Linked DNA regions of Arabidopsis thaliana. The protein of the gene in region 2 interacts with the protein of the main gene of each other region in a pairwise test. Each region holds a gene or a part of one and is shown on either strand. Other genes may lie near its edges.

Region 1 (5,721 bases), on a different chromosome or scaffold from region 2:
TCTATTATTTTTTGTACATACATATAATAAAATAATAAGCTCTTTCTAGCTATATTATGAATACTCCTACGAGCAATAAAATAATAAAAGGCACGTTATTTACACTCGAAAACAAGCTAATTTAGAGGTGGTCGAGAGCAGATATCATGATTGTTTTTTTTAATGTATGTAATCCGTTCATTTGTGTCATCATTATTCATTTTTATATTATTTATCCGCTTTGTTAAATATATTTTGTCTGATGTGAATTAATTGTTGAGCGGTAAACCAATCATGAAGTTATCTTTAAATTAATGTGTTATTGATAAAAAAAAAAGTAAATTAGTTGTAAATTTTTTTTTTCGTCAATTTGTTGTATACTTAATCTGATGAATATTTATGATTTTCAGAAATGTATGTTTGTATCTTCTAATTTTTACCCACAAAATTCAATGTCCTACGCATATGATGGAATTTAACCAAATACAAGTAGCTAGTTAGTGATTCTGATTTGTTATTTTTTTTTATGTAGGTCTAAGTTATAAATCAATTTTCTTCGAACCTAAAATATATTTTTAACCAGCTCTCAGTATCATGTTTAAAGCTATTAAAAAATTTAAGTAGACGATTCGACAACTACGCTCACCCTAAAAAAATAATCAGATGAAAAAAATCTAAATCTAAACTATCAAACATATTAAAAACAATTATGAAGACTATTCGACAACTACGCTCACTATAAAAATTAATCAGAAGAGAAAAATGTAGATCTAAACTATCAAACATATATGTGATGGAATTAAAATTGGGTAAAGCCGTAAAAGAGGTTTCATAATTTTGGATTAGTGATTTGGTAACTTAAATTGACTTGTCAAGGGAGTCTTAACTCTATCATGAATCAAGATAAACACTCTCCACACCAAAAACAATATATATATATATATATATATAGATAACATAAAAAGTCCTAAAATATGTTAAAAGGCAAGGAGGGCCAACCATATCCATCTCTCGCCCACTTTTGCTAATATGTCACTCTCTCTCATATCCTAACCTTCCAATAACATTTCAGAACCATCCTCGGTACATCATTTATATGATTTCTCTATTATCCTTAATAATCAACTTTAAAAAAATAAAAGAATAAAATTAAGATATCATTTGTTTTACCAGATAAACCGATCCGATTCAAACTAAACCATATTGATATTTATAATCCAAAAACCTCAAATCCAAAACTATACCAAATCATTTATTATATCATTTTATTTTATCTGAATATACCATTTTTCATAACACAGAAATTTTAAAAACCTAAACGAAAATCGAAACGAATCAGAACCGAAATCCGAATTGAACCATTTGATAATTAACCAATAATCGTCCCACTAAAATCCAAGTGTATAAAAAATCAGTTTAATATTTATATGTAGAATATGTTCTAGAGAATTATAGTATAAGATTCTACATTTTTTTTTTTTTTTTGAACAAAGAAAAAAGGAGAAATTTTAGGGAAAGGAGTAGAAATCTTGTGAGTCACAGTTGATTTGGTTCAACTGGATTGGGATAATATTTCAAGTGGAAAGAAATAAATAAAAGTTGTGGTGGAAAATTATTCCAATAAATCTCGTCGTGTGAATTGAATCATTATTCCTAGTGTCAATCTTCTTCACCTCTCTCTATCAACCTCCAATTTCTTCTTCTTCTTTTTTTTTAGATAACTTATTTTTATTTTATTTTTCTTTGATTTTTCACTTTAAGACAAAAATAATAATTTTATATTTCTACCAAAAATAAATAATAATTATAATTTAATAAGAGATAAATATTTTTTCAAACTGTAACCTAAACAATAAATAAATTAAAAGAGAAATTAATGCAAATATTGCTATATTTTTGGGTTATTACTTAGAGACTACTTTGTCCAAAATTAGGAAAAATCTTTTTGGGTGAATAATTCCCAAAAGTATAGTTGCATTTTGCCAGAGAGGCACTCAGAGAGAGAGAGAGATATTCGTAAAGATAAGCTTTTTTTTTTTTTTTGCCTTCTCATCAAAAATCTTTTTTTTTTTGTTGTCTTTCTTCTCGAGAGAGATAAGTGACCAAAGGGTTTCGATTTCTGGAAATAGTTTGAATAAAAAAGTAATTTTTATGTGATTATTGGCAAAGAAAAGTTTTAGTTTTTTTTAGTTTGTGAGAGATGTCTGGTTCTGTATCTGGTTGTGGTTCTGGTGGTTGTAGTATTGTATGGTTTAGAAGAGATCTTAGGGTTGAAGATAATCCAGCTTTAGCAGCAGCAGTAAGAGCTGGTCCAGTGATTGCTCTGTTTGTTTGGGCACCAGAAGAAGAAGGACACTATCATCCAGGTAGGGTTTCTAGGTGGTGGCTCAAGAACAGTTTGGCTCAGCTTGATTCTTCTCTTAGAAGTCTTGGTACTTGTCTTATCACCAAGAGATCTACTGATAGTGTTGCTTCTCTTCTTGATGTTGTTAAATCCACTGGTGCTTCTCAGATCTTCTTCAACCATTTGTATGGTCTGTTGTTCCTCTTCTCTTCTCTCTTTATCTTATCTTTGAATTTGCATGATAAAAAGATTTGATTTTTGTGATTGGAATCATCTTTTCTCTTATGGGTTATGTTTTGTTTGATGTATTTGTGGAATAAGATGATCTGGAAATGATAAAGTTTTGATCTTTTTCAGATCCATTGTCTTTGGTGCGTGATCACCGAGCTAAAGATGTTTTGACGGCGCAAGGCATAGCGGTTCGATCATTCAACGCAGACTTGCTTTATGAGCCATGGGAAGTGACTGATGAATTAGGCCGTCCTTTCTCTATGTTTGCTGCGTTTTGGGAGAGATGTCTTAGTATGCCTTATGACCCTGAGTCTCCTCTTCTTCCACCTAAGAAGATCATTTCAGGTTTGTTTCTTTGCCACTCTCTCTTGTGGGTTTTCGTTTTTTCCAAATCTGTATCATTCAATAATGTTTCTTTTATGTTGCAGGGGATGTGTCTAAATGTGTTGCGGATCCATTGGTGTTTGAGGATGACTCTGAGAAAGGAAGCAATGCACTTCTGGCTCGTGCTTGGTCTCCTGGATGGAGTAATGGTGATAAAGCTCTCACAACGTTTATAAACGGTCCATTGCTTGAATACTCTAAGAACCGCAGAAAAGCCGATAGTGCTACAACCTCGTTTCTTTCTCCACACTTGCATTTTGGGGAAGTGAGTGTGAGAAAAGTTTTTCATCTTGTTCGGATCAAACAGGTCGCGTGGGCAAACGAAGGAAACGAGGCCGGGGAAGAAAGCGTGAATCTTTTCCTGAAATCTATTGGTCTCAGGGAGTATTCTAGGTACATAAGTTTTAACCATCCATATTCCCATGAAAGACCACTTCTTGGCCATCTAAAGTTCTTCCCTTGGGCTGTGGATGAGAACTATTTCAAGGCATGGAGGCAAGGCCGGACTGGATATCCGTTGGTCGATGCCGGGATGAGAGAGTTATGGGCTACTGGTTGGTTGCATGATCGCATAAGAGTAGTTGTTTCAAGCTTCTTTGTTAAAGTGCTTCAATTACCATGGAGATGGGGGATGAAGTATTTCTGGGACACACTTCTTGATGCGGATTTAGAAAGCGATGCTCTTGGTTGGCAATACATTACCGGTACTCTCCCGGATAGCCGGGAGTTTGATCGCATAGATAACCCTCAGTTTGAAGGGTACAAGTTTGATCCAAATGGTGAATACGTAAGGCGATGGCTTCCTGAACTCTCTAGACTCCCGACAGACTGGATACATCATCCGTGGAACGCACCTGAGTCCGTTCTTCAAGCTGCTGGTATCGAGCTTGGATCAAACTATCCTCTACCAATTGTAGGATTAGACGAAGCAAAAGCACGGCTTCATGAAGCGCTTTCACAGATGTGGCAACTAGAAGCTGCTTCAAGAGCTGCAATAGAGAACGGATCCGAAGAAGGACTTGGAGATTCTGCTGAGGTAGAGGAAGCTCCTATAGAGTTCCCAAGGGACATTACAATGGAAGAGACTGAACCAACCAGACTCAACCCAAACAGGAGATATGAGGATCAGATGGTTCCAAGCATTACTTCTTCTTTGATCAGACCTGAAGAAGACGAAGAGTCGTCTCTTAATTTGAGAAATTCAGTAGGAGATAGCAGAGCAGAGGTTCCAAGGAACATGGTTAACACCAACCAAGCTCAGCAGCGGAGAGCAGAACCGGCTTCAAACCAAGTCACTGCTATGATTCCAGAATTTAATATCAGAATTGTTGCAGAGAGCACTGAAGACTCAACAGCGGAATCTTCCAGCAGCGGAAGGAGAGAAAGAAGCGGAGGCATAGTCCCCGAGTGGTCTCCAGGGTACTCAGAGCAGTTCCCTAGTGAAGAAAATGGTATTGGAGGAGGAAGTACAACGTCTAGCTACTTGCAGAATCACCATGAAATACTGAACTGGAGACGGCTTTCACAAACCGGGTATGTAACTCGCAAATCCGACTCTCTCAACAATAAGTTCACATAAAGATTCTAAACATTTTCAAATTGAAAGTCTCCAAATTTTCAGTAAGTTTCAATCTTCCTACACAATTCAAATAAATCGTCGATGCGCGTTGTGCTTGGCACACTTGTCTAGCCAAGTAGTATCAGTTTTAAATTGAATTTAGCTGAAAAGTTTTGAACTGTTTTCAAATCCAAGTGTTTGCATTTACAGTAGACCACAGTAAAAAAATTAGTGAAAGTTTCTATGTTTCACAGTTCAATTGGAATTTGGTACATTGGTCTAACCAAGTGGCATGAAATTTACTGTGGTATGTTTGGTTTTACAGGTAAAAAGTGCATTTGGAGGTGCAAAAGGAGAGGAACATCATAAGGGCTGTAACTCCGGTGAAATCTGGTTGGACTGTAAACCGAGTACATTTGGTACGGTTTAATGTAATTCCGGTTATGGGGCTGGAGAGAAACTATGTAGGAGTTTGTCTGATGTACATTTTTTATTTATCTCTGGTTCCATCATGTTATAATACACTGTATAGTAAGTAGTCTGTTGCTTGTGGTATTAGACCAGGTCTCATACTTGTTGGCTTTCAAAGTTTTGGTTATAAGTCAAACAGATGCCAATTCTTAATCTTATAAACATATATAGTTCACATTTATTTATGATAAATGACTTGTTAGTGTATATGAAACACGTACGTCTACTTCCATATAACGAGAATCCGAATAGGTATGTATACTGATAGTAGCCTTCGACGTCACGAGCTTCCCACAAAATCTCGTGCTGATTAGAAACTAGACAAGACCACGATCTCAGTTATAATCTCTGCTGGGCCTAATTCGCGTCTGAAAAAACGTGTCTCACGAAACTGTGAATAACTTAATGAGCTTAAATCCAAAACAACTTCTATAAAATGGAAAACGACGATGAAAGACTTCGAAATAACTCTACCAAATTTCGTTACCTTTGACAACGATTTGATATGTTGAAACTGTTTCTTCCCCAATCCTAACGATTTTGATCCTTCTCCTTCTCTCTCTTTTTCTCTTTTACAGAACGAAAAATGACTAACCAAAGCTCTAATTCGAGTTTCCTTCTTTTATAGGTACACTCTAGGGTTTCCATTAACCCAACCGATTAAACCGGGTGATTTAAACACAAACCATAACCGATTTTCCGGTTTACGGGCTTTACACAAGAACTATTCCTTAATGATCTCTTATGATCCATC
Region 2 (7,641 bases):
TCCCTATGATTTACGAATCCGAAATAGAGAGAGGAGGATTTTCATGTTATTGTGGTGGAGGAGCTAGGGTCGTGTCAATGCTGCTTTTGGTTCATTGTTTAAGAACAATGATCATAACACGATAAGATTGATGAATGAAACGTTTCTATCTGATATACCACACAAATTTAACTAAGCATCACAAATCCGAATTAGAGCAGAGAAAATAATACAACATGTTGCTGGTTAGGTTGAAACATTGAATTTGCATCTCTTCTATAGTTGATACAAGATTGGATACATCTTCGTTACAAAGCGAATACTTGCTTACATTTAATTACGCCAAAAAATCTCTTCATTTTCATCTTTTACAGTTAATTAATAATGAAAAGATCTGTTCATCTTTATATATAGTGATCAATAACAAAAAAATTTGAATCCAATAAATATAATTGAACTCAGGTTCTGGGGGCAATCACAAGTCAGTCATGCGCCTTCACATTTTCCTGTAATGCCTGAATTCTTTAGCCATGGGCTGAAGCACGTGAGTCCTTTTCTCCATCAACTTTGTATCCTTCATAAACCTCTTGTTTGCACGTGCTCTAGATTCACGAGCCTCGTGTGCAACATGGTCTCTTCTCTCTTTCTCCAAACCATTCTCATCTTCCTTCTTCGTAGAAAGCTGAGAGAGAAGCACCACCATGAGATTTACCTCCATCAGAGAAGTTTTCTCGTCTTCTCTTTTCTCCTCCGCATCATGTTTACGATTGGCTTCGCGAGACGAATCCATAAACCCAAAAAGAAGACCCAAAAATGATACAATTATTGGGAGCTATTAGTCCCTAAATTAGCCCGTCTTTTGGACAAAATTTTTATCTTCTTCTTTTTTTTTTCTTGTGGTCATTCATAGTAACTAATTAAATCAATTTGCAATTTTTTGAGTGGTATTGGTATATTTTCCATCTTAAAGACTCGATGGTAGAGAAATAAGATTCCTAAATTCATTAGTCACAAGATCGACCAATTTTTATTTTTATTTTTCTTATCTCAAATGTTTCGTTTTGAGAACAACCAAACATTTAACCATTGATAAAATTGGCCAATGGCTAAAATGAATGCCTTTTCATTGTTTTTTTGACATCCTAAAATAAATGCTTAACTAATGGGTTTATGGAAAACAAAAGTTGTGTCCAAGTTATAAGCGAAGCAGCCCATAAAAGTATTAAAATGGGCTGAGCCCAATAACTGATAGGTGGAGTATATTAGTTTAAATTGTGTTTGTTGTACAAAGTTTCCCAAATGGGTTTCCAAAATGGGCTGAGCCCAAAAAGTGTTGTTATAGGTGAGGGTATATTAGTTTATTCGCAAAAAAAGCGTGGCTTAATAATCTCCACATCTTTCACGTGACCCCCCTCGAATGGCGAATAGATTAAGCGACGTCGACGTGTTTTAATCTCCTCCTCTTAACAAATATCCCTAAAGATTACTTCCCCCATGCAACACTCTTAATACCCACGCTTTTCCTCTTTATTTACCATCCTACCCCTATACTCACACATATCGTTTAACCAGAGAGGAAAAACCTGAGTGGCATAATCCGTAAATAAGACCAAAAAACAGGACCATCTCTAAAGCTGATGTCACTAATCAAAAGATTATGAACGTAATCTCGTGTCATAATCCTTTTGACCTCTTACTTAAACAAAACAAGTATAATAATTGGGCAGCCAAAATAAAAAATCTTTCTCTCTTTTTGCTATAAAGTAATGAAAAAATTAAATAAAATAATGTTCAAAAAATTGTCCGCCAGAATAAAGAAAATTTGATATGTGGCTTCAAAGCCTAAATTAATCATTAAAATAAAAAATCAGAAAATAAGGAATGAAGAACGAATTGTGCAAAAGTCTATAGAGAAAGAGAGATTCATTTGTGTTTCTTCGACTATACACAGAATACAAAAGAGATATTATATGTAATTATCAATAGTATATGACAAATTTATAGCCTCACCTTTCTTCTTCTTCTTCTTCTTCTTCTGTGTGTTTTTGAATTTGCTTTCTTCAAGAGGTTTCTTCTCCACACCGCTTCGGTGTATGATCTGATTGTGATCTCTCTCGATATCTGGGATCTTCGGGGTAAGCGATTTGATTTTTGTGTATTTCTCGTTTCTCGTAATCTTCATGATTGGTTTTAATAGTTTGCTGCGATTTTACATAATCTTCTTCTGTTTTGATTAGCTACTTTAGATTACAGCTAATGATACGTTTCGGGATTAGTGATTATTGTATGTTTAACTAGTTTTAGAATCTCTACATGCATGAATTTACTAGGTAGGGCTTCTTTCTTCTTCTTCTTCTTCTTCTTCTTCATTTTGTTGGTTTGATTCTGATTTGTTTTTGTATTGTATATGATTTAAGGTATGGAGGCTGTAGATTATTATTATTATTACGTGTGGTGCTGATGCAATGAGTGTTGATGCCTGTTATGGAAAGAGTAGCTGAAGAAACTGTGGCGACTAACAACATACAATTGAAAGCACGAGTGGATGATGTTCCTTGTAATAAGCTTGATGCTCGTCATAACGATATGGTGATTCAATCAGAAACTGCAAACAGTGATTGTCCTGGAAGCTCAGCTCACAGGAATGTTGATTTGACTAAGCCGCCGCCTCCTGAGGAAGCCGCAGGAGCTAAGCTTTCTGTTGAAGAGTTGACATTGGGGAACTACAGGATTGTTCAAGGGAGTAATAATACTAATGTGGATAGTCCTAGGGCTGGCAAGTTTGAGCATCTTTATCGTTTGGCTAGAGGGTCTGCTTTTAGGGCAGGAGATGGGGATCTTGATTCTCAACCTCGTGATATGGATCAAATGTTGTCCAGAATCAGACAACAGCTTGCTGGAGCTCCTTCTGAGAGGCAAAACTTGAAACCTTTTATGTCTAGGAGGAGCGATCAGAATCTTGAAGCTTTTTCTGAACGTCTAAGAGCAGCTGGTGAGAATAGTATTATGAATGCTCCTGCATTGATCAGTGAAGGTGTCCAAATGAAAACGCCGGTGAGTTCTTCGAATTTTTCTCAGTTGTTACTTAAAAGAGCTATGAAAGGGAAAGGGGTAGTAGGAAAGAACCAGGAAACTCCTCCTGAATTTGTCTCTGATCAAGATTTAGGAAGCAAGGAAAAAAAGTTGGATATTAGCAAGTCGCCTACTCCTCACGATGTGTTACCTCTAAAATCAAGTCCCAAAGGAAATGGTATGGTATCACATGGTGATGGGAATCATAGTAAATCTTCTATTGGAATCAGTTTGAGGGAGTTTCTTAGATCAAGTTATGCTAAAAGAGAAAAAAGACATGGCCTTTGTCTATTTAGGCAGCTGGTGGAACTGGTTGACTCAGCCCATTCAAAAAGATTATTCTTGCTAGACTTGAGACCATCCCTTTTCACTTTAGTTCCATCAAAGAAACTTAGATATATTGGTAATTTTGGAAAGAACGATCTAGAATCAGATGTTGACGAAGATTTGAATAGGAGGAGGCCTGTTGTTGAGGAATCATCTAGTGGAGGTAGGGATTCGAAGAAAAGAAAAATGGACTTGCATTTGAATTCTCCAGGGAATCAACTTCAGGCCACTTCAACCGGGCGACCTTTCAAAAGGAAAAGCCCTGTGATTGATTTAAACATGGTTGATGCACGTAATCCAGACAGTTGCGAGCTTCAACAGCAAGACTACATAAAAAATTTAAGCGTGTCTTCAGTGTCGAGAAAACAGTCTATGTCCACATGGCTAGAAGAGCAATGGTATACTTGTCCAGAGGAGATAAATGGAGAAGATATTGGAGAAAAATCAAATATTTATGCCCTTGGTGTTCTTCTGTTTGAGGTATGGACGAATACCCAGTTTTATTGTTGTGGATAGATTTTTAGTTTGCTTTAATACCAAGAAGGATGTAACATTTCCTTGCATTTGAACACTATGTACTGTCATATCCTGCTTATGTGGGCTTTGGGTAGTTTATATTCTTTCATTTTCATGAAATTTCTTACTCTAGTCTGAACTTTGAATCCCAGAGCTAGTATTTTCCAGTCTGCAGTATATAACTTGTCAGTATTTTTGTTTACTTGTTTGATACTTTCATGTGAAGACGCCTACTGACATCTAGCTTGACCAATTGTTGTTTCAGTTGCTATGCCATTGCGAGTCAGGCGAGATGCATGCTGCAATGATGGCAGATTTACGCCATCGGATTCTCCCACCAACATTTCTCTCGAAATACCCGAAGGAAGCTGGATTTTGTCTTTGGCTTCTACATCCTGAACCCTCCTCCCGACCATCAGCTAGGTATTTAGCTGAGTGCTACTCTTTTATGATTCATGTGGGCGAGTATTTACTAGGAGTCTAGGAGTGGTACAAAGGAGAATCTGTAGACCTTCCATTAGCTTAAATAGTCGTATTTAAGATTTCTTTGCCGGATATCTTCAATTTTATTTAATGTTTTCCCGCTTAATTGTGAAGAAAAAAAATGGCATGCTACTGTGTGAATTATCTTCTTGTTTCTTTTTCTGTTCTCATTCTTTTCTCTTTATGTGACAGAGATATACTAAAGTCAGAGTTGATATGCGAGGATGATTCAGTTAAATCGACTGCTGCTGCTGAGGAGATATCTGAGCTGTTACTTCATTTTTTGTCTTCATTAGAAGTGCAGAAGAAGAAAAAAGCATCTAAACTTTTGCAAGATATCCAGACCTTAGAGGATGATATTAAGGAGGCCGAGCGAAGATATTCTTCAAATGTATCTCTGGTGAGATCTCATGGAGCTATTGAAAAAAGGGTGCAATCATCTCCCCTAGACGAGCACTGTACAACTTCCAGTGCCTTGTTTGTACCAACTGCTAATACAGACAGGCTGATGAGTAATATCCGTCAACTTGAAGATGCATATTTTTTCATGCGATCACAAATCAACTTATCGAGTTCTGCTGCTACTGCCCGTTCTGACAAAACACTAAAGGACAGGGACAGATGCTCTGAAAACCAAAATGAAAATCAGGATATGAGTACCAAAGGAAAATCTTCAGATCAACTCGAAGTGTTTTTCGAGGGGTTGTGCAAATTTGCTCGGTATAGCAAGTTCGAAACCTGTGGGACAATAAGAAGTGGGGACCTTTTAAACTCTGCAAGTGTGGTCTGCTCGTTGAGTTTTGACCCTGATGAAGAACACATAGCAGCAGCTGGGATATCAAAGAAGATCAAGATTTTTGACTTCAATGCATTTATGAATGAATCTGTCGGTGTTCATTATCCACTAGTAGAGATGGTCAACAAATCTAAATTAAGCTGTGTTTGCTGGAATAGCTACATCAAAAACTACTTGGCCTCGACTGACTACGATGGTGTAGTTCAGGTACCTATCGATGTCAAGTTTGGAATCTTTCTTATTTACCATCATATGTTGCACGGTAGGATCTATAGGACTAGCCTCATGTGCTTTCTCTTCCTCTATGAGATGTGTACATGTTAATCTTGTGATAAGATAGAGATATAGAAGCGTCTATTTCATGGTTTTCACTTGCCATTTTCTTACTGTATGGTGCTAATGAATGTAGATATGGGATGCCGGCACTGGACAAGGATTTTCGCAGTACACAGAACACCAGAAGAGAGCCTGGTCAGTTGATTTTTCTCCATCTGACCCGACAAAATTTGTTAGTGGAAGTGATGACTGCTCGGTGAAGCTTTGGAGCATCAATGAGGCACTTCTCTTTCCTTTACCTCCTGATATTGCAAGAATTTTCATGTCCCCGTTGTTTTTATTACTCCAGATTATAGCTCCATAAGGCATGATTCTCTGTTTATACTTGTGAATTTCCAAATCTAGTGAAACTTATATTCTTCTCTGTTTGGTATGCAGAAACGTTCATTAGGCACAATCTGGAGTCCAGCAAATGTGTGTTGCGTGCAATTCTCTTCTTATTCCAATCACTTATTGGCATTTGGGTCAGCTGATTACAAGGTCTATTGCTATGACCTTCGGTATGTCAAAACACCTTGGTGCACATTGGCTGGTCATGAGAAAGCGGTGAGTTATGTTAAATTTATGGATTCAGAAACCATTGTTTCTGCTTCCACTGATAACTCTCTCAAGCTTTGGAATCTTAACAAGACAAATTCCTCTGGTTTATCTCCTGGTGCTTGTTCATTGACATATAAAGGACATACAAATCAGAAGGTTAGTCCCAAAAACTTTTCTATCTACCTTTAACATCTCATCCAACATCATTAGTTAGTTCTGATGTCTAATCCTTTACCTGTGCAGAATTTCGTTGGATTGTCGGTTTTGGACGGATACATAGCTTGTGGTTCAGAGACCAATGAGGTATATATCACATCATAAAACAAAATCTCAACCTTTAGAATACTTAATTTCAGATTATCAAAGGTGGTATATGTCAATCGCGTTTAGTTTGTTTATGAAGCTGCCTAAAATTAGTTGTTATAACTTACTAAAAAAACTTTACTTTGATTTTGCGTCTTAGGTATATAGTTACTATAAATCTTTACCGATGCCAATGACTTCATACAAGTTTGGATCCGTCGATCCCATTTCTGGAAACGAATACTTTGATGACAATGGACAGTTTGTGTCGAGCGTCTGTTGGAGGAAAAAATCGAATATGCTTGTAGCTGCAAACTCTACTGGAAACATGAAGCTACTAAAACTTGTTTGACAACTTGGCCTTTTCGCTACTACTGCGGGCATTGGACTTTTTGAGTCTGAAACTAGGACAAAGCAGGTCTGACTTTGAAGCAAACGTTTTTGTCCTGGAAACTATGATCCCATATGACCAGAAGAGAAAAAAAGTTCGAAATCTTGGAGAAGTTGAAGAAGCAAAACTGTCTGTGATAATATATTATTTGATTCTTCTTCCTGTAATTCTATATATATGAGATATAATTTGAGATAAACTTCTCAGATTCTTCAGAAATGATTCATATTTGGTCGGCATAACGTGTAATGATGAGAGGTATATAACTTGTACAAGTGTGTTATATCGTTAGCTCGGTTATGTAATTGTTGTTGGAGATTCTCTATAAGAGAGAAAATATATATATCATCCATTCATTTCATCGCATGGCTACTACCTCTCGTCTGCGTATTTCACAATTTATGGTTTTAGATTCAGTGTTGTTTTAGAAGAAATTCATAACAATTGCACATACGATGTTATTAGTGTGACCACCAACTTCAAGTCTCTAGGAAAACAAGTAGAATATGTCGTTGATGAAGGGCACATGGGTTAAATGTGGTTATTTTTTTCCTATTATCTATTACTATAAATCTCGAAATCATGAATTAGACATGTTCTTTGTATCTATGTCCAACATGTAATGGGTACATTGTATGTTTAAGAGTAAAACTAGGATAGGAAGATGTAATTGATTGCTTGGTGGCGTGGGTTTAGGCCTTTGAGCCAACATTTCTCTTTAGATTTGAACCCTCTGCTTTCGCGAGAGACTCTCTTTGTCTTGCGTTTTAAAAATCAAAACATTATCCTTCCTTCGAAGCAAAATCTTTAAGATTTTGGTGCTATGCCATCTCTTGCAAGTCATCTTTCACATCTGCCAGGTAAGTGTCTTTTGAGTATTCCAATTCTAACAAGTCCG
Region 3 (7,137 bases), about 11 Mb from region 2:
ACCAAGAAAGAGAGATATTGACATAACCAAAAGTGTACTAGAAACCATTATAAGTTTTGAAGGTTTTAGGTGGGTTTAAGGGTTTGAATTGGGTTTGAGACATTTAGAAGGCTATTGATTGGTGAGTATTTATAGAGCATATATAATGGAGTTTTGATTCCTTAATGATTAGTTATATATTGTTAATATTTCAGTCTTTGAGCTTTACTTTAATTTTCTTTAAGAAAAAAGGTGAGTTTAGTGTGGGTAATGTGAAAAACGAAACAGCCTGGAGAGCATACACATCAAAACTATAGTGCGATACATCATAAACATTAAATTAACTATTGTTAATGTGTTACATCCTAAGCTTAGCCAGCCTAATTTAAACATCTCACTTTTTATATATATAGTGGAGTTTGTAAAATTTCAACTTTTTGGACGGTACCATTTCATCATAAATCTTTTAAAATTAATGTGATTGGCCTTTACCTCTTGATTGCGTAGACAGACTAATTGGATATAATATGATTTATAAATGGTTAACAATCAAATAATAATTTTGAATTGATGTAACGAGTAACAAATTAAAAGGATTGGTCATCGATTAATATGCTCTCTTCTTATCTCATTGTTTTGTTTCTCTCGGAGTTGTCAATTTACACAGCACAAACAAAAGTCTTGAAATTCTCTACAACTACTGTTACGTTTTTTTTCCGGCGAGCTGAGCTGAACGCAAATAATCTCCCTCTTCTCTACTAATCTCACCGGAAACAAAAAAAAAACTTTCTATCCTCCTCCGACGTCGTTAGACACACAAACACTCATACAATGATACAAACTCTCATACCAACTGAAGTGTGACTAATATGGCATCATCAGCATCATGTCACCACTTCCACTAGCAGTTGACAATGGTCGCTTTCGAGGTACAGGGAGTTCCAGAATGATGAGGAAATAGGACCGTTCTGATTCTCGGATGTATTGAACCTCACCGTTCATTAGCTTTAAAATCTTTCGACATACGCTTAGACCTAAACCTTCAGGGCTTGTCCACCTGCTGCTATGGAACATGTCTCGGACTAGCTCTGGAGGCAGACCTTCACCTGGACACGCCATTCTGCAAACAACGAATAAAGACATAACAAAGACACCAACACATGAAACCCAAGTTTTACACTTTTGAGCTGGTTTTCATCAATTTGAAAACATTACATTCCTTGACTGCTAATTCTAGGCCTATGGATGTGTCTAAAAGTTCCCAAGTCGACTAAACCGAATACAAAAATCAAACTAATCTAGGTTCCAACTAAACAATAACCAAAACAAATAGTGAATTGGTTAAAACCTCAAATTCTTTAAACGCCTAAATCAAATTCGTAATTAACCAAACCAAATTCATTTTCTTTATGTACAAAATAAGGAACCAAAAAAACCGGATTGCATAATTTTGGTTATGGATATGTGGAGACAACAGCGGGAACAATGAAATGTACCTGAATTCTGTGCGGATGGCGGCGAATCCATCAGCCATTTGCTTTGAAAGTTGGCTTAAATGGATCTCCACCCACTCTTGAGATGGTGCATACCGGATTATACTCAGCAGAAACTCAGCCAGGAGCTGTTGAATCCTTATCTGGTCTCCAAAAACCTCTATTGATTTGATCTCTTCGGGAATGTCACGGATCAGCTGAAGACCTCTGTCCCTTAATAAGAACATCGCTTGACTTACAATCGCGTTTATGACACTTCCAAGGAAAAACTCTTCCCTCTTTAGCACAAATGAACTGATCAATGAAAAAAACAAAATTTGGGATTTGGTCACATTTTGTGAAGTAAGCAAAACTAGCTTCTAGATAAATTCTAACTATACTCACCCGTCTTCAATGCTTTCAAGATCCATGTCCCCGACGATCCTTGAGATCTGTTTCTCGCAAGAAACACTTGTTTCAAGTAACTGCTTCTGGTCCTCGTTCAAGTCTGTGGCCTCCAACAATGAGTTTGCGAAACGCATACCGCTCAAAGGATTCTTTATCACCTGACAAATATAAGCCAACTCTTTTGCCTTCGTGAAACACTCTGTGTCCTGCCTCCGTTGGACTGCTAAAGCTTGCTGCAGCTCAGGGCTCGGGATTTGCAAGAAACAGAAAGCCCCAATAACCTTTCCCTCGAGGCTAACCCGCTTGTTTGCAGTCAATAGAGCCTGAACAAACTTCCCATTGCGGTCAAAGAATGGGAAAGGGAACTTATCCGTATCTTGGCCACCAATCGCATTATGCAATACAATCATGAACTTGGTTAAAGCATCAGGACCCTTTAGCATGCAACAGCTCCCAAACACTTCCCCGACAATCATTTTCCCAATCACTTCACTGCGAGACCAACCCGTAAGCTTTTCCATCGCCATGTTCCATTCCAGGCAGCACGTGTTCTCGTCAGCAGCAAAAATTGGCGGGATTAGAGGGTTTGGGCTATGTACAATAGCCTTGTAATCTCCTTGTATGTTGATGAACTTATCCATTACGATTTTCTGACTAGTAACGTCTTGTCCAACAAAACAAACGCCGACAATGTTGTTCAAGTAGTCCTTGCTGGAACAAGCATTCACAACCACAAAAACTGCTTTCCCTTGTAGTTCGGGGCTGAAAGTTTTCAGCTTAACCTCCACATTCTTTTCCTCGTCCCCTGCATTGCCAAATGCAACAAAATAATCAAATACCCGCGAATTGGTATATACACCGCAGATACAACATAGCTGAAGAACTGAATATACCTCTCAAAGCACGAGAAAGAAGCTTATTGACAGTTGCTTCATTCTCTTTGTATATTAAATCAGAAACCAGAGACTTCCCCATAGCTTCTTCAACTGAGAGACCTGTCAACTCTGCAATCTTAGCGTTCCATCCATTGATGCAGCCTCCGGCATCCACAGCGAATATAGGAACAGTTGCAGTCTCAATGAGCCTAACCATCTCTCTTGCAACTGCACCTAACTCATCAATCCCCTGTTCCCCCGCCATATCCCTACATGGCTGAACCACACCATCCACAACTTTAGAGTTCATAGCCGCCTCAGATTCTTTAAAAGAGTCTCTCAGAATAAGCTGGAGCGAGTGAATCGCATCCATTTCCGCAGTTTCCCATGGCTGACTCCGGCTCTTAACAACTTCAAGAAAAGCCTGAAAGGACGAACGAGGATGCATTCGTTGCCCATCATCTTTATCCTCCGGATGATGCTTAGCGCCTCCCCATTTGATTTCTTTCGCAGTGTGAGATCGAAACCAAAAAAGAAAGTCTCTTTTTGTGATATATGCAACTGCCATACCGCACACAGCATCCCCTAACGCAGCTGCACCGGGATACCCCGCATCGCCTAAACTATCAGTGCTTAATCCGGTTGAATCCGCATGATTCGCAAGCAACCACTCCACAACATCTTTTATCTGAACTTCACTAGGAGCAACACCCAACGGGTAATACTTCCCGTGGTAAAGAAATGCTGCACCGTCACATTTCACTAAGTCCATGATACTGGGACTCTGTGTAACAATTCCAGCAGGCGAGTCACGCAGAAGCATATCACATAACAGTGTCTGCGTTCTCAAAACGCGTTTCTCTGACATTTGCAAAGCTAACTGCAATTCCATGTTTAACTGTAAACCGAAAGCCTGCATCAAAAACTCACAAGCATACCTTAGCGGAAACGGTATGCAGCGAGAAGAAGTGTGATGGCAAACAACCAAACCCCAAAGCCTCATCGAGCTTCTTCCACTAGCTACATTGCTCCCATCATCTTCATTTCCATTGATTATAACCGCCATTGCTAAAGACGCAATAGATCCCATGTTAGCCATATACTGAGAGTGACAACCATGAGGAGCCCTAAGAGTAGAACCAACCAAGCACATAGACTGAGTTAGCCTATCGTCCTGGACCACAAGAACAGGTGTGGCATTGCAATCTACTATCATTCGGACACGGTTCTGCTTAAACAAGAACCTTGACGCTTGAGGAATATCAGTAGCAGGATAATGCAGTCCAATATAAGGCTCTAAATCATCTCGTTTACTCTCAGCTACAACTTCTCCATGCTCATCTTCATGAAACTTATAAACCATAACACGATCATAACCAGTCAAGTCCCTCACACTTTCCACGACAGTGTCACACAAAAGCTTAATATCTCCACCAGGAAGAGCCTGTAACTGAGAAATCGCACGAACCGCGAGTTTCTGCGATTGAACAGCACCAGCAATAGAAAGCGCAGGATCTTCAGTTCTAGCTGGCTCTAAATCAATAACAACACCAACATCAATCCTATGAAGAATGGCGTAAAACGGTTTACCAGTATTCTTGGAATGGATCCAAACCGGATTTAACAAGGTAATCTCTCGAGCAACGAAAGCACGCTCGAGTAGAATCGAGCTCGAAGAAGTGAACAAAGATCTCACATCAGTTCCCATAGCTAGAATCTCAGGTTTCTCAAGAGTAGGAACAGATTGAGGCATAATCCCTAACATTTCTCTGGCGTTTTCACTGTAACCGATGATCCGGAAACTGGATTCATCGACGGCGATCATACATCCGAAAGGCTGAATGTAACCACCTCGCTGGATTCGAGAGAGATAAGCTGTGATCTGTTGCTCAGGTACAGAGGAACCGTACGTCGTCGTTTTGAGTGATTGTGAGTAGTCGAATGATTTCCCTGATTCGCCGGATTGTTCGAAAACGGCGTGGAGTCTTGCGTCGACGGTGTACTGTTGAATTGCTTTGCTCATTGATTCAGTGTTGCTTCTTGGTCTGAGAGATTTCGTTCCCGACGATTGAGCTTGTTCTCCTCCTCTTCGGTTATTAGGAGTGTGACTTGACGACGGTTCTTCTTCTCCGCCACGGCCACCGCCACGGCCACCGCCACTACCCCCGACTCCGGAAACCATGCCGTTTGATTTTGAATTTGAGAAATTTCTCAGAATTACCTTGAGACAAGGAAGGATTTAGGGTGAATCATCATCCACTAGTTATCGGAGACGAATTCTGGTAGAGCTAAATTCTCAAGAATTTTGAACTTGAGGAAGAAGAAAATGGGGAGAATTGAGATCGGAGATAAGTGGAGAAACCAATAAAATAAATTGAAGAAGACGAAGCAAAATGTGTGCCTCTCAGATAGAGAGAGATAACAAAAAAAAATCAGAGTTTTTTTTTTTTTTGTCGTCTTCGCTTTTTGTTTCCTCATATATTTTCTGCGACTTTTTTTGTGTGGCGATTTTAGCAAATTACCTTTAAAGTTTTGATATTTATCAATTTAACCCAGAAGAGCTTTTGTTTTGTCGTTTAATGTGAGGGAGAGATTGATTGGGCCCAAGATCACGTGGGCTAATGGTTTATTCTCTCTAGTGGCCACACGTGGTTGCTGGGCCCATTGCGCGTGGGAGGGAGCCCCTGGACTTGTCGAATCGCATCATCAATTACGATTTCGAATTCGTACTATACAAGTTTGGTTTCTTCAATATCTTATCGTGGGTCAAGTCAACCAAGTGGTGTCCTCTCTATACAAATATTGAAATGTTTTATACTCTCATCGTACGTATATACTTCTCATAATTTGTACTAGATAGAATATAGAATCACATATTGGTCTCAAAGGGGTTCGAAGTAGTATTAGCACGCTCCATGCGGAATAGAATCATAAATTTTGCATAGTAAACTCGTCTAATACATAAGATATATTTTGGTCCACTTTGATATATACGTTGGATCTATATCATTACATTTTGTATAATACATGCATTGTACTACTTAGCATTACGTTTTATTGAATATATGCAATTCTTTTTTGACATATTAATGATTCTAAATTTGGATTATTTGGTGAAAGCATACAATTATGGTGCTTCGAAAAAAGAACATAAAATAAATTAAAGTAATGATAAAGAGGAAAAAAAGAGAGCAGAAAAACATATAAATGAGAAAAATCGTGTGCATGAAAAGTTAAGGGTCCATTACATAAATGATTTTGGGCCGCTCACAGTTTCATGTTAAGTCACTGCGTTCGTCCTTTTCTTTTGTTGAATGACTAATTTCTCCATCTCGTGTTGTTTGTTTTCAAAGCTCTATCATAATAAGTTAAGTATAACCGACCACTTTTTCTTTTTAACACTATTACATATATAAACATCCATGTTACCATGTATGAAGACAAAAACGATTATCTTATATACCCATAAAATATTATGGACCAAAAGTGAATAGTGAAAAGAAAACAGAAAAAAATTGGAATGACAAAAGAAAAACACACTATTCGTTGACAAAACAAAAGTTTAAATGTTTATTAGTGAGTAATGACCTCATATGTTTTGGTCTTATCTTGGACGAGATATGATTGGATGTCCACGAATTTAATCATGTACCTGTTCGCACTAGAGTGTACTAGTTCGTTGGCTAAGAATCGTCCACGTACAATAGTTTTAAACCACCAGTAATTTACCACGTGCCACTGAAATCAAATTAGCTAATAAACTACTCAATTACCAAATCACCCTTATAAACTCTCAATGATTCTTTAGGCTTGGCTGCTAATTTCTTAAAACTTTTGCATAACTTTTGCATAAATAAGAATAAGACAAAAGATGAAATTAATATAAGGGTACAATCGTAATTCAAGAATTTCCAAAATTCGTTCTTTAGTATAACGAAGAACTAGCTAGACATTATTAGGCATTGGGGCATACTTTAAAGCCCAAAACTAAGCCCTCCCATACTAATAAATCAGGAGCCCAAATTGGAAAAAACGACTTTAATAGCCTTTGGGTAATACTTTAAAGCCCAAGCCCAATTTAGAAACATCTAACATTTCTGAAGTGTTCGTTCTCTCATAATCTCTGAAGAAATCAGAGTAAAAGGTAAAGTAAAATTTCTTCGATATGCAAAAACAATCAACGACGATGCTCTCGGATCTTCCAAAGGATGTGGCGGAGGAGGTGCTCTCGAAGTTTCCAGTGACATCTCTGAGAAGAGTACGATTCACATGCAAAAAGTTGAACACTTTATCCAAAGATATGTCTTTTACAAGGAAGCACATCGATAAAGAAGAAGCAAAGAAGAAGCAGAGTAAGGAGTTTCATGTTGTGATGATGCTCGATTTTAGGGTTTCTTTATTCA

The links. Proteins that work in one complex are often made in the same cells at the same time.
Region 1: the proteins of SPA1 (region 2) and CRY1 interact in a two-hybrid assay, tested with the Arabidopsis thaliana proteins (3 studies listed by BioGRID).
Region 3: the proteins of SPA1 (region 2) and PHYB interact in a two-hybrid assay, tested with the Arabidopsis thaliana proteins (4 studies listed by BioGRID, with this or other methods).

What each region holds. Positions count from the first base shown.
Region 1 is NC_003075.7:5,722,081-5,727,801, forward strand, and holds CRY1 (cryptochrome 1), read left to right. Parts: upstream 1-1,570; 5' UTR 1,571-2,179; coding exon 2,180-2,513; intron 2,514-2,680; coding exon 2,681-2,899; intron 2,900-2,982; coding exon 2,983-4,471; intron 4,472-4,821; coding exon 4,822-4,825; 3' UTR 4,826-5,188; downstream 5,189-5,721.
Region 2 is NC_003071.7:19,021,635-19,029,275, reverse strand, and holds SPA1 (SPA (suppressor of phyA-105) protein family), read left to right. Parts: upstream 1-1,747; 5' UTR 1,748-2,114; exon of another isoform or gene 2,115-2,309; intron 2,310-2,396; 5' UTR 2,397-2,454; coding exon 2,455-3,858; intron 3,859-4,159; coding exon 4,160-4,317; intron 4,318-4,569; coding exon 4,570-5,380; intron 5,381-5,582; coding exon 5,583-5,729; intron 5,730-5,887; coding exon 5,888-6,205; intron 6,206-6,292; coding exon 6,293-6,352; intron 6,353-6,512; coding exon 6,513-6,704; 3' UTR 6,705-7,122; downstream 7,123-7,641. Other genes in the region: AT2G46360 (uncharacterized protein), read right to left, coding at 476-769. UniProt on the Arabidopsis thaliana protein: Controls normal photoperiodic flowering and regulates circadian rhythms. Required for suppression of photomorphogenesis in dark-grown seedlings and for normal elongation growth of adult plants.
Region 3 is NC_003071.7:8,137,858-8,144,994, reverse strand, and holds PHYB (phytochrome B), read right to left. Parts: upstream 5,233-7,137; 5' UTR 4,917-5,232; coding exon 2,753-4,916; intron 2,665-2,752; coding exon 1,857-2,664; intron 1,767-1,856; coding exon 1,476-1,766; coding exon of another isoform or gene 1,346-1,475; exon of another isoform or gene 1,100-1,345; coding exon 844-1,099; 3' UTR 534-843; downstream 1-533. Other genes in the region: XTH21 (xyloglucan endotransglucosylase/hydrolase 21), read right to left, coding at 1-48; AT2G18780 (F-box and associated interaction domains-containing protein), read left to right, coding at 6,900-7,137. UniProt on the Arabidopsis thaliana protein: Regulatory photoreceptor which exists in two forms that are reversibly interconvertible by light: the Pr form that absorbs maximally in the red region of the spectrum and the Pfr form that absorbs maximally in the far-red region.